2 linked regions of the Danio rerio genome follow. Each later gene encodes a partner of the first gene's protein in a complex. Links are inferred from orthologs where the notes say so. Each region holds a gene or a part of one and is shown on either strand. Other genes may lie near its edges.

The links. The genes of interacting proteins can lie anywhere in the genome.
Region 2: the proteins of cpsf6 (region 1) and nudt21 are in contact, whole or in part, in a crystal structure (PDB 3P5T), measured with the Homo sapiens proteins. The link is inferred for Danio rerio from reciprocal best matches to the Homo sapiens genes CPSF6 and NUDT21. Residues at the interface, in NP_008938.2 of Homo sapiens: Trp90, Trp91, Thr92, Thr93, Asp94, Glu95, Lys113, Phe114, Glu116, Asn117, Arg118, Ala119, Asn120, Gly121, Gln122, Ser123; in NP_008937.1 of Homo sapiens: Pro151, Asn152, Glu154, Pro156, Tyr158, Tyr160, Pro162, Ala163, His164, Ile165, Thr166, Lys167.

What each region holds. Positions count from the first base shown.
Region 1 is NC_133179.1:2,380,434-2,384,628, forward strand, and holds part of cpsf6 (cleavage and polyadenylation specificity factor subunit 6), read right to left. Parts: intron 3,933-4,195; coding exon 3,759-3,932; intron 3,161-3,758; coding exon 2,677-3,160; intron 704-2,676; coding exon 588-703; intron 515-587; coding exon 361-514; intron 245-360; coding exon of another isoform or gene 206-244; intron 1-205. UniProt on the Homo sapiens protein: Component of the cleavage factor Im (CFIm) complex that functions as an activator of the pre-mRNA 3'-end cleavage and polyadenylation processing required for the maturation of pre-mRNA into functional mRNAs.
Region 2 is NC_133193.1:24,123,985-24,128,741, forward strand, and holds the start of nudt21 (cleavage and polyadenylation specificity factor subunit 5), read right to left. Parts: upstream 2,971-4,757; 5' UTR 2,845-2,970; coding exon 2,726-2,844; intron 408-2,725; coding exon 207-407; intron 1-206. UniProt on the Homo sapiens protein: Component of the cleavage factor Im (CFIm) complex that functions as an activator of the pre-mRNA 3'-end cleavage and polyadenylation processing required for the maturation of pre-mRNA into functional mRNAs.

The sequences.
Region 1 (4,195 bases):
CATACATATTTAACACTAACTGCTTTATTTTGACTTATTTTAATGCATTTTCCAATTTGTTTTTTTTGTGCAAAACTGCATTTGACTCATATAATTTTATTTATAATAATGCATTCTTAAAACCCAAAGTGCTACATTAAAAATAAAGTGATTTGACAGGATCATGAAAATCTCTGACATCATTTATAATTAAATTTCCACTTACTAAAATCCATTGTGTCCCTGATTTAAATCTGCCATGGCACTGGTAATACAAACGAGGTCTCAAAATGCGCATCATGTACATGAAAGATCATGCAAACCTTATGCATCATCCTCCAAAGCAAACACAAAAAAAAGCTAGATCCACAAGATCCTTACCCTGCCACAGAGCCATACGATTTGGACTCGATTCCATGCAAGCAGTCCTGCAGTGAGCTGATGAGAACTTTGCAGCGGTCGTCAGCAGAAACCTTCGACTGCTTGATCAGAGAGATGGCCGTCACCAGAGTCTCTATAGCACTGCCGTAATCAGCTGCAGAAACGGAAACGGTTAATTCACAACACACCACACCTCATATTTGTGCTGGGTGTAATGATCTCCACACCTGCACTGGCATCAGAAACGGCCCTTGAAATAGCGCTGCTGGAAATCGCTCTGTTCCGGTTCATGATCTCCTCAAACTCAGCTTCGCTCAGGGGAGTGCGAGACGCATCCATGTCCCTGAAGCACACAAAATGCTGATTAATGAACACGCGCAAACTAAAAGCACGAGTCAGAGCGAAGCGTAATGCTTCAGGGATCGAATTCACACAAAGAGCTGCAGTGGTCGTTAGTGCTGAATCACATTGCATCACATGTTAAATCAAAGTGAGGCACAGACATTTCAGCAACTAAAAACTAAAGCGACACCAAAATAAAAGGAAATACCATCCAAATGCAAGATAGACAGGTTTAAAAAAATAGTTACGTTTCACGTATGTTTTGTGGTATTTTTGTTGTTTTCTGCTTTGCGCTCTTCTCTCTCTCTCTCTCTCTCTCTCTCGCAGTGGTCCTATCCTGTTTCAGGTGTGCTACCATTGGTCGAGTGAGCTGTCATTCACCTTCGTCACTCAATCGGCGCTAATAAGGATTGGGTCCGCGCAGTATAAAACCGGTGCGCTTGCGCTGTTCTGGAGGAGCGCTTGGCCTGTCAATCTCTCAAACTGTTGACTTGTTTGTTCCGCTTGGTTTGTTTGCGAGTGCTGTGTTCTAGTTTTCTCTTTGTTGATATGGATTTATCAGTTAAACTTGTGCTGCTCAGGTTAATGTATAGTGAGAATATGAACGATCTTTATGAGAATTGGATTACCTGAGATCTTGTTTTGCTAATGGCTAACAGTCTGTACTTTACAAGAATTCTAGTATTTCGAGCAGCTTAGTATAACTTTGTATTAGTTCGTTTTTGGAGGCGTTGCCTCATGTGTAATTATGTTTGGGAGTTATGAAGTTTAGTTAAGCTACGTGCTGAAGATTACTGTTTTGTTTCTGCATTTTTCTTTGATCAGTCAGTTTAGTGGGTTGGGGTTTAGTTAGATCGTTTTGTTATATTTATTTCTTTGTTTTGGCAACACTCCTATTTTTCTTTATTTAATTCAATTATTTAAAATTACATTTATCTTCCATCTCATATTCATTGTTTGACATTATCCATTAATAAATACTTACTTTTTGTTTCACTTATCAAGCGTTTGTGTCTTCTCCTTATTCACCCAGCATCAATGGACTCACTGATTGTTACGTATCATCCTTTTAATTATTTAACATCATTAACACGTAACAATATATAAATACATTTAGGAGTTCACACTTAGACAATGCTTAACTATGATAGCAGGTTTGGCATGCTGTCCCAGGAGAGAACCTGAATCTCAAATCGAAGAGCACAAGGTTCCCGTTTGGTCAATGAGCATTAGTTTGGATAGGAGATCGGGTATTCTTCGAGAGCCCTCTCGTTTGTTTTATACTATGGTTAATATGGTGGTTCTGACTGATTCAGTATGTATGCGTTAAGTGCTTATGACTTTACAGTTCGCTTATGTACATGTTTTAAGACTGTTGGAGGAAACCGGAGTACCCGAGGAAAACATACGGGAACACAGGGTGAACATGCAAACTCATGGCAGAGAGTAACGACTGGCTCAATTAGAACTTGAACCTTTGGCCCTCCCACTGCGAGGCAGCAGCGCCAGCCATTGAGCCACCCTGTTGCCCTATCATATAATTAACGAGGAAGGAGAAGGGAAGGATAGAAGGGGGTTTGCCAAAAACGAAGACAGGGAACGGAGTTTAGGCAGGATATTCATAGTAGTTTTGGAATGATCTGATAGGCTAGCTAATGATCAGTGATGAGGATCAGCTCTAGTTGATCATATCACGTGCTCTTCTAGAAATTAGTTTGTGAAACTTCACTTATTTTTTAATATTTATAAAATGTTATCAAGTTATGGCTGTCAATATTAAAATGTAATGTGAAATGATTAAATTACATCTAAATGTGCTTCCAATGAAAAACAATTGAATGCATATTTGCAGTGTTATCTGTTGTAGTGAGCATGCCATCACAGCATACTATAGTAAGACTGTTCATTTAACTGTGCACATACACTTCGGGCTTTTTAGAGTATAGGTGTAGTTGTGGGCGATGTGTTTATTACCTGCCACCAGGGAAGTCTCTGTCATAAGGAGGTGGGCGGCCGTACGGGTCTCCAGGTGGGGGTCCTCTGCCGTCAGATGATGGCATGTTGTTTCCAGGTGGTGGGAAGAAGGCCGGGTTGACGTGAGGAGCCGGCGGTGGGCCTCCAGGTGGGGGTCCCTGCATGTGTGGTGGGGGTGCGAGGCCAAGCGGGGGTCCTAAGGGCCCAGGTGGACGGGGAGGGAAGGGTCCTGGAGGGGGTGGTCCCTGCTGAGGTGGAGGGGGGCCTGGGGGAGGCCCGTATCCTGGTGGGGGAGGCCCAGGAGGCATCGGGCCCATTGGGGGTTGCCCGAACTGACCAGGAAACAAGACAGGTGGAGGAGGACGGTCTCCTCTGTTAGGGGGTCCGCCGAGGGGAGGAGGCAGACCTTGTCCAGGTGGAGGGGGGCCTGGAGGTCCCAGGGGCCCAGGTGGGCCAGAGGGAAGACGTGGTGGGCCCTGCATACCTGCAAGAAGATTTGATGCATTACATTTTGAAGCAGAGAGGAGAAGGGATTACAAAAATACACATGAAATCAAAACTAACCGTATGATTTTGGGAGCTCACACTGCTAGTTTTGTGGTGAACATTAAACATCACCCATTCTTGATTTAGGACAATTGATCAACTTTTTCTGATTCACTTGAAAAGTGACCCATTCACCTCAGAGCATCAGTTTTCAGACCAAATATTGTTGCCAAATATTTGTTATTTCCTTATTAATTACTGATCTCATTTCATTCCTTCCCAAAGGTACTTTAACATCTACTTGATTTTTCTTCAATGATTCTTTTTGCCAATTTATCTGCCAATTTTATTTCCCATTATTCCAATATGTGCCGGTCCACAACAAAAATGTACATTTTTACCCTCTACTTTAAGTCTGTATAATGTTGTAGAAACTTGCATTATTAAATCTTCTCTATCAGTTGTTATAGATCCAACAACTGATAGAACAAATTACAGTCCTATTTGTTTCCTCCCATTGCAGACCTATAATAATAGCTGTTAGTTCTGATGTATATACTGACAATTCAAAAGTTCACTCCTGTTCAAGCTTATACCTGGGAAGTGTGGTGGAGGACCGCCAGGTCCAACCGGTCCAGGGAAGCGGTCTCCTTGTCCAGGTGGGCCAGGAAAGCGTCTCTGACCTTTGCCAGGAGGGAATCCTCCACCTCGAGATCCTGAGCCTGGAGGACCAGCCTTCCCCTCTCCTGACATCTGTCCTGACTGTGTGCCTGCGTGGACCAAAACACACTCTTCTAAACTGCAGCACACATACAGCAACGCTATTCTCATTCAGTAAGTTTAAAGTCCCCGTGAAATCAAAATTAACATTAGATGTTAGTTTTAAGGATATCTATAGTCTAGTGTGCTCCAAAACAGTGATAAAATTTACATTTACAAGATAAAAACATAAAAAGTTGCAGATTGTCACTTTATCTTAAATGGATTTTTTTTTTTATCAAATCTGCTGGCCAATCAAATGCATATATTTGAC
Region 2 (4,757 bases), on another chromosome or scaffold:
GTAAAAACAAAATAACTGTCACTCACTCAAACTCACAATAGATGAACAAACAAAACAATATAAAGAAAAGCAAACAAGCCATTGAAAAATAGTGAACAACAAGTAGGAATATTTAAAGATAGGTTTCTTTATATAACAGCTTAACCACTTAAACAGCAGCACTCTATTGAATTCATCACATCCACAACACACAATCTATAGCTTACAGTTTGAAGAAGGTTGTCCCCAGCTGAAGTAGCAGAACATGAGGGAGTCTGTGCTCGTGCACGATCAGAACACCCTCCACAGTCCGCCGCATCCCGATTTTCTCAAATTCTTCCCGCATCCGCTGAAAGCGTGCGGCTACCGAGCTGTCCTTCTCATAGAGCGGCTCCTTGGTGCCGAATGTGTAATTTGTAAGAGGGTATCTTTGGAAAAACAAACATGTTATTTCATTTAAATTGAGGTGTGATAAAGCTTTAATAATCCACACACTGCAAAACAAAACATAGCATCATAACAAAATAATGAGGGAAAAAAGATGGCAAGCACTGTATGTGGCCGCTAGTAGTAGGGCTGCACAATATATCGTTTCAGCATTGATATCGCAATGTGAACATTCGCAATAGTCAAATCACGAGTATATGCAATGTTGAGTCTGGGTTATAATTTACAATATTTCAAGTGTTTTTGAGGCCTGTGATTGTGTGAGGGTTTTAACAGCATGTGTACAGCTTTTAACTAAAAAATAATAATGATGAATTTGCTTGTTTTATTTTACAATTAATCATTTACTGTACACCTAAATGCAGTTTGACTCCTCAAAAACAATAAAACACTGTTTATGTAATTTGTATTTTTCTTTATTGAATTTTTCTATGCTTGTTTCTTATTTTTTTATGCATGCACTCTTCTACAAAATCATCCCAATCAATCTAAAATTTCTAATTCTTTCCAAATAGGCTTGTAAAATTGTATTTATATTGCAATTTATGTCACAGAACAAAAACATATCCCAATGTTAGATTTTTCAAATACAGTGCAGCCCTAGCCGCTAGTCATGTAAATTTCCATAAAGCTTCAAAACCTTTAAGAATCTTGTTTTCAAATAAGTGGTTGCATATCAAGGGGTCACAAAAAGTCACAATTTATGTAATGGAGGATGCATTTCATCATAATTATTTCAAAAAGTTATTAAAATCCAATGGTTCATGTATCTGTGCGTCTGAATTATGCCAGATTCCCAACTGTATTTATCAAAGCTTGTGATTGGTTTGTTACTGTATATTATTGCAAAATCACTCCCTTAATAAATCACCTAAATTATGAATTCTTTTTGAATAGACCTACTCATTTCATCTAGTAAAATTATCGCAATGTACATCGCAGAGGATTAAAATATCACTTGGTAATTTCTCCCTAATATTGTGCTGCTCTAATTTTGACCAGAAGGCATTACCAATCTGTGGTATTTTGAATGTTTAAAGGTTTTGTGAAGTGCTTTGAAATGGGCATTTATATTCCATGTTTGAGGTAATCTCAACTGAAACATAATGAAATGGTGGCAGTTCCTCCCCTTTAGAAAATAAAAACAGAGAATAGCGTTTTGTTTTTATCACAAACAATCTCTGCCAATGAGAGTGTTTGAGCTTAAGGCATCAAATGAATAGCAAATGAGAACCATCTTGGCAGGGGGTGGGGTTTATGCTCACATACTAGAGAGCATTTGATTGGTCAAGATTTGGTGAGTAAGTAAAACATGAAGTGACCTATGAATAATCATAGATTAGGCGGAAGTGACAAACTGCGGGCTTTAGATGTGTATATATCTTATAACGCAAATTGAGTCACTGTTTGAGCACACTAGCTTATAGATATCCTCAAAACTAACATCTAAAAAGCTTTATTTTTACTTTTTATTTTATTTCACAGGTCCTACCTTTAAAAGAGCAATCATTTATTAATTTTATACAAAGTGTAATTTGGATCTTGTGCTCGCCTATTATGGGCGTTTCATTCCATTGTGTTTTCATACAGCTTTTTGTACAAATTAAAAATAATACTCCCAAATAAGGGTTTCAATATCAAATTTGAATTTACATTAAAGATCATTCATATTAATATTTGATTAACATTGGCATAAGGTTAGCGTTATTAACAAAATCAACAATTATAATAACAATTCTACCGTCACTCAATATAATCAATGATTGGGATTTGTTTACGTAACTTGCTCAAGAATTCGACTGTTTGATTTCTAAGTCATACTTAACGTTACACCAAAATAATAACAAATAACACCATAAACCACAAATAATCAAATAACATTTCAATAACATTGCGCCTGTCGACTAATGTTAGTGATATTTTCGAATAAATGTGCAAAGAGCCCTAGGATAAATCACCGAGAACAATGCTAACTGCAACATATGGAATACAAAACTAATAAGAACTATATCGAACTCTTATATTTCAATATCCCTGCATATGTACACACTGCCATAAATGTGCATGCATTTTGCCACATAAAAAACAAAACTCTGAATATTTCACTGTATTGTTACGCATGCAAACAAGAGCTGGCAGCAAGAAGCTACGGTAGTCTGCCATGGTCAAACGCTAACAATGCTAACGTACTGACATGAAAGGCACAATGCAGCAGCACTAGGATTTACAACCATTAAAGCTTGTTTAAGTAATCGCATATATCGTTTGTAGTGTTGAATTTTAAGTTCAAGTTACTCACAGGTTGATTGTTCTCTCCAGGGTGAGGGGTTTAGTCGCCTGGGTAATGTATTTATTGCCGAACTGATTTACTCCTCGAGGCCAACCGGTAGATGATCGATTAGGAGGTACAACTGACATCGTATGACGGATTATTAAATCACTTCCTAATATTTGCACTAATCGCGTTTTTTTCCACGTTGATTACTTTATTACTGTGATTGAATTGCACAGCCTTGGCGCTCGATGAAAACTGGAATACGGCGCTCTGCTGTGAAAGCACATCCGGGACATTGGGTTACTTCCTGTGTTACGACCGTGTGTTTCGGCTCTTCAGATTTTTCTCATCTGATCTATGAGCAAGAGTTGTTTTCCACATTATAAGTAGTGGGTTTGAACAGTCCAGACACGATTCAAACCCTTACCCTTCAAACAGAGGGTTTGTGGTTGTTTATTACACTTTTCTGCCTGCTACAAGGCGTGTTTTGGTGTCTGTTAACCTGACATCACAAACACAAGAATACCACAGAAATGTCCAAACTAGATTATTAAACCATGTATTAATCAGAAAAAGACAGTAACAATTAAACCACTTATATAGCCTGTAATAGTTATTTAGGGAATTTTACCATTTAATGTTTGCAAGATTGCTTTGTGTATACGTAGCCTAATTTTTGCTTTAATGTAAACAGAACAGTTTTTTTAATACTTTATACGGACCTTTGGTGTTTTTAAAACATCATCAGTCGGTGCTATTCCCACATATCAAAAAATATCTGGCCCACATAATCAGCTTTTGCTTGGCCCACTTGCGGCAGTAAATTATGGTATATGAGTGGACCAATTCTGGCTTTTAGACAAGGACCAAACATGGACAATATCTGGGCCAAGTCTCAGACAAGTTAATAACCCATAACTGAGCCTAAACTTCACCAGATATGTTTTTGTATCCCGTCTGCAATGAAATTGATATACTCAGGGATCATTGCGCTTTAGGCATGCTATGGGCTTGCTTTTTCTCGAAGCGATGATTGGTACTTGGTAGAATTTTTTTCTTTATTTGAAAATAATAAAAATGTATTTTAAATGTGGGTCAAGATAAGCCTAACGTTCATGGCTCATATATCAATTGTTAACATCTGGCCCGAGTAGGCCTATTGTGTGCCGTCTTAAAGACGGTGCCACCTCTGCCAAACCAGGGCCATGTTTGGCCTACATGCTGTATGCCAGTGCCAGACAAATGCCTGCCCTGCCAGATATATGCCATATCTGGGTCAGAATTCTTTTCTACCTGTGTTGGAGGCACAACAAGTTAGCCTACACTGAATCACTTGCATATTTTGCTAAACATGTGATCAATTATTGCCATTCTTTAAGCCAGGAATGTCAAACTCAGTTCCTGGAGGGCCGCAACCTTGCACAGTTTAGCTTCAACCCTGCTTCGATATACTTACCTGAAACCTGAAGGACTCAATTAGTTTAATCAGGTTTGTTTAATTAGGGTTAAGCTAAACTGTGCAGAGCTGTGGTCCATCAGGAACTGAGTTTGACACCTGTGCTTTAAGCAGTATATAATGCAGTGCAAAAACAGCTTAGTGCACATACCTTGATATGTCTGAGAAAATCTTAATAAACACCTCAGCTTTCAGAAAATACTTAACACAGTAAGTGTCTTTCTGCATGCACACTATTATTTGCTTTTTACTCCATAGAGCTCCATATAAAAGCCAGAAATGTTTTTGCACAGGCCTATCTAAAGGGTTAATGGTCCTAAGCGATCATCAAAAGGAAAAATGGCAAATTGTACCTCTTCTCAACAGGGAAAACCAGCAGCAATCAAGAGTGGGTGATTATTTGCTGTCATGGTTTTGCAATCAAAAAAAAGTTGTTATAATGAAAGTCAATGGGGCAAAAAACAGCCACCAATTGGGTAGTAAATTTGAACAATAGGTTTAAGGAAAATTCTTACACTTCAAAGTCCATACCACTTGCAGCTTTAGTGTAATGTGCCTGAGTAAAACATTCTGTCAATTCAGTATGAGATGTTGGTGACA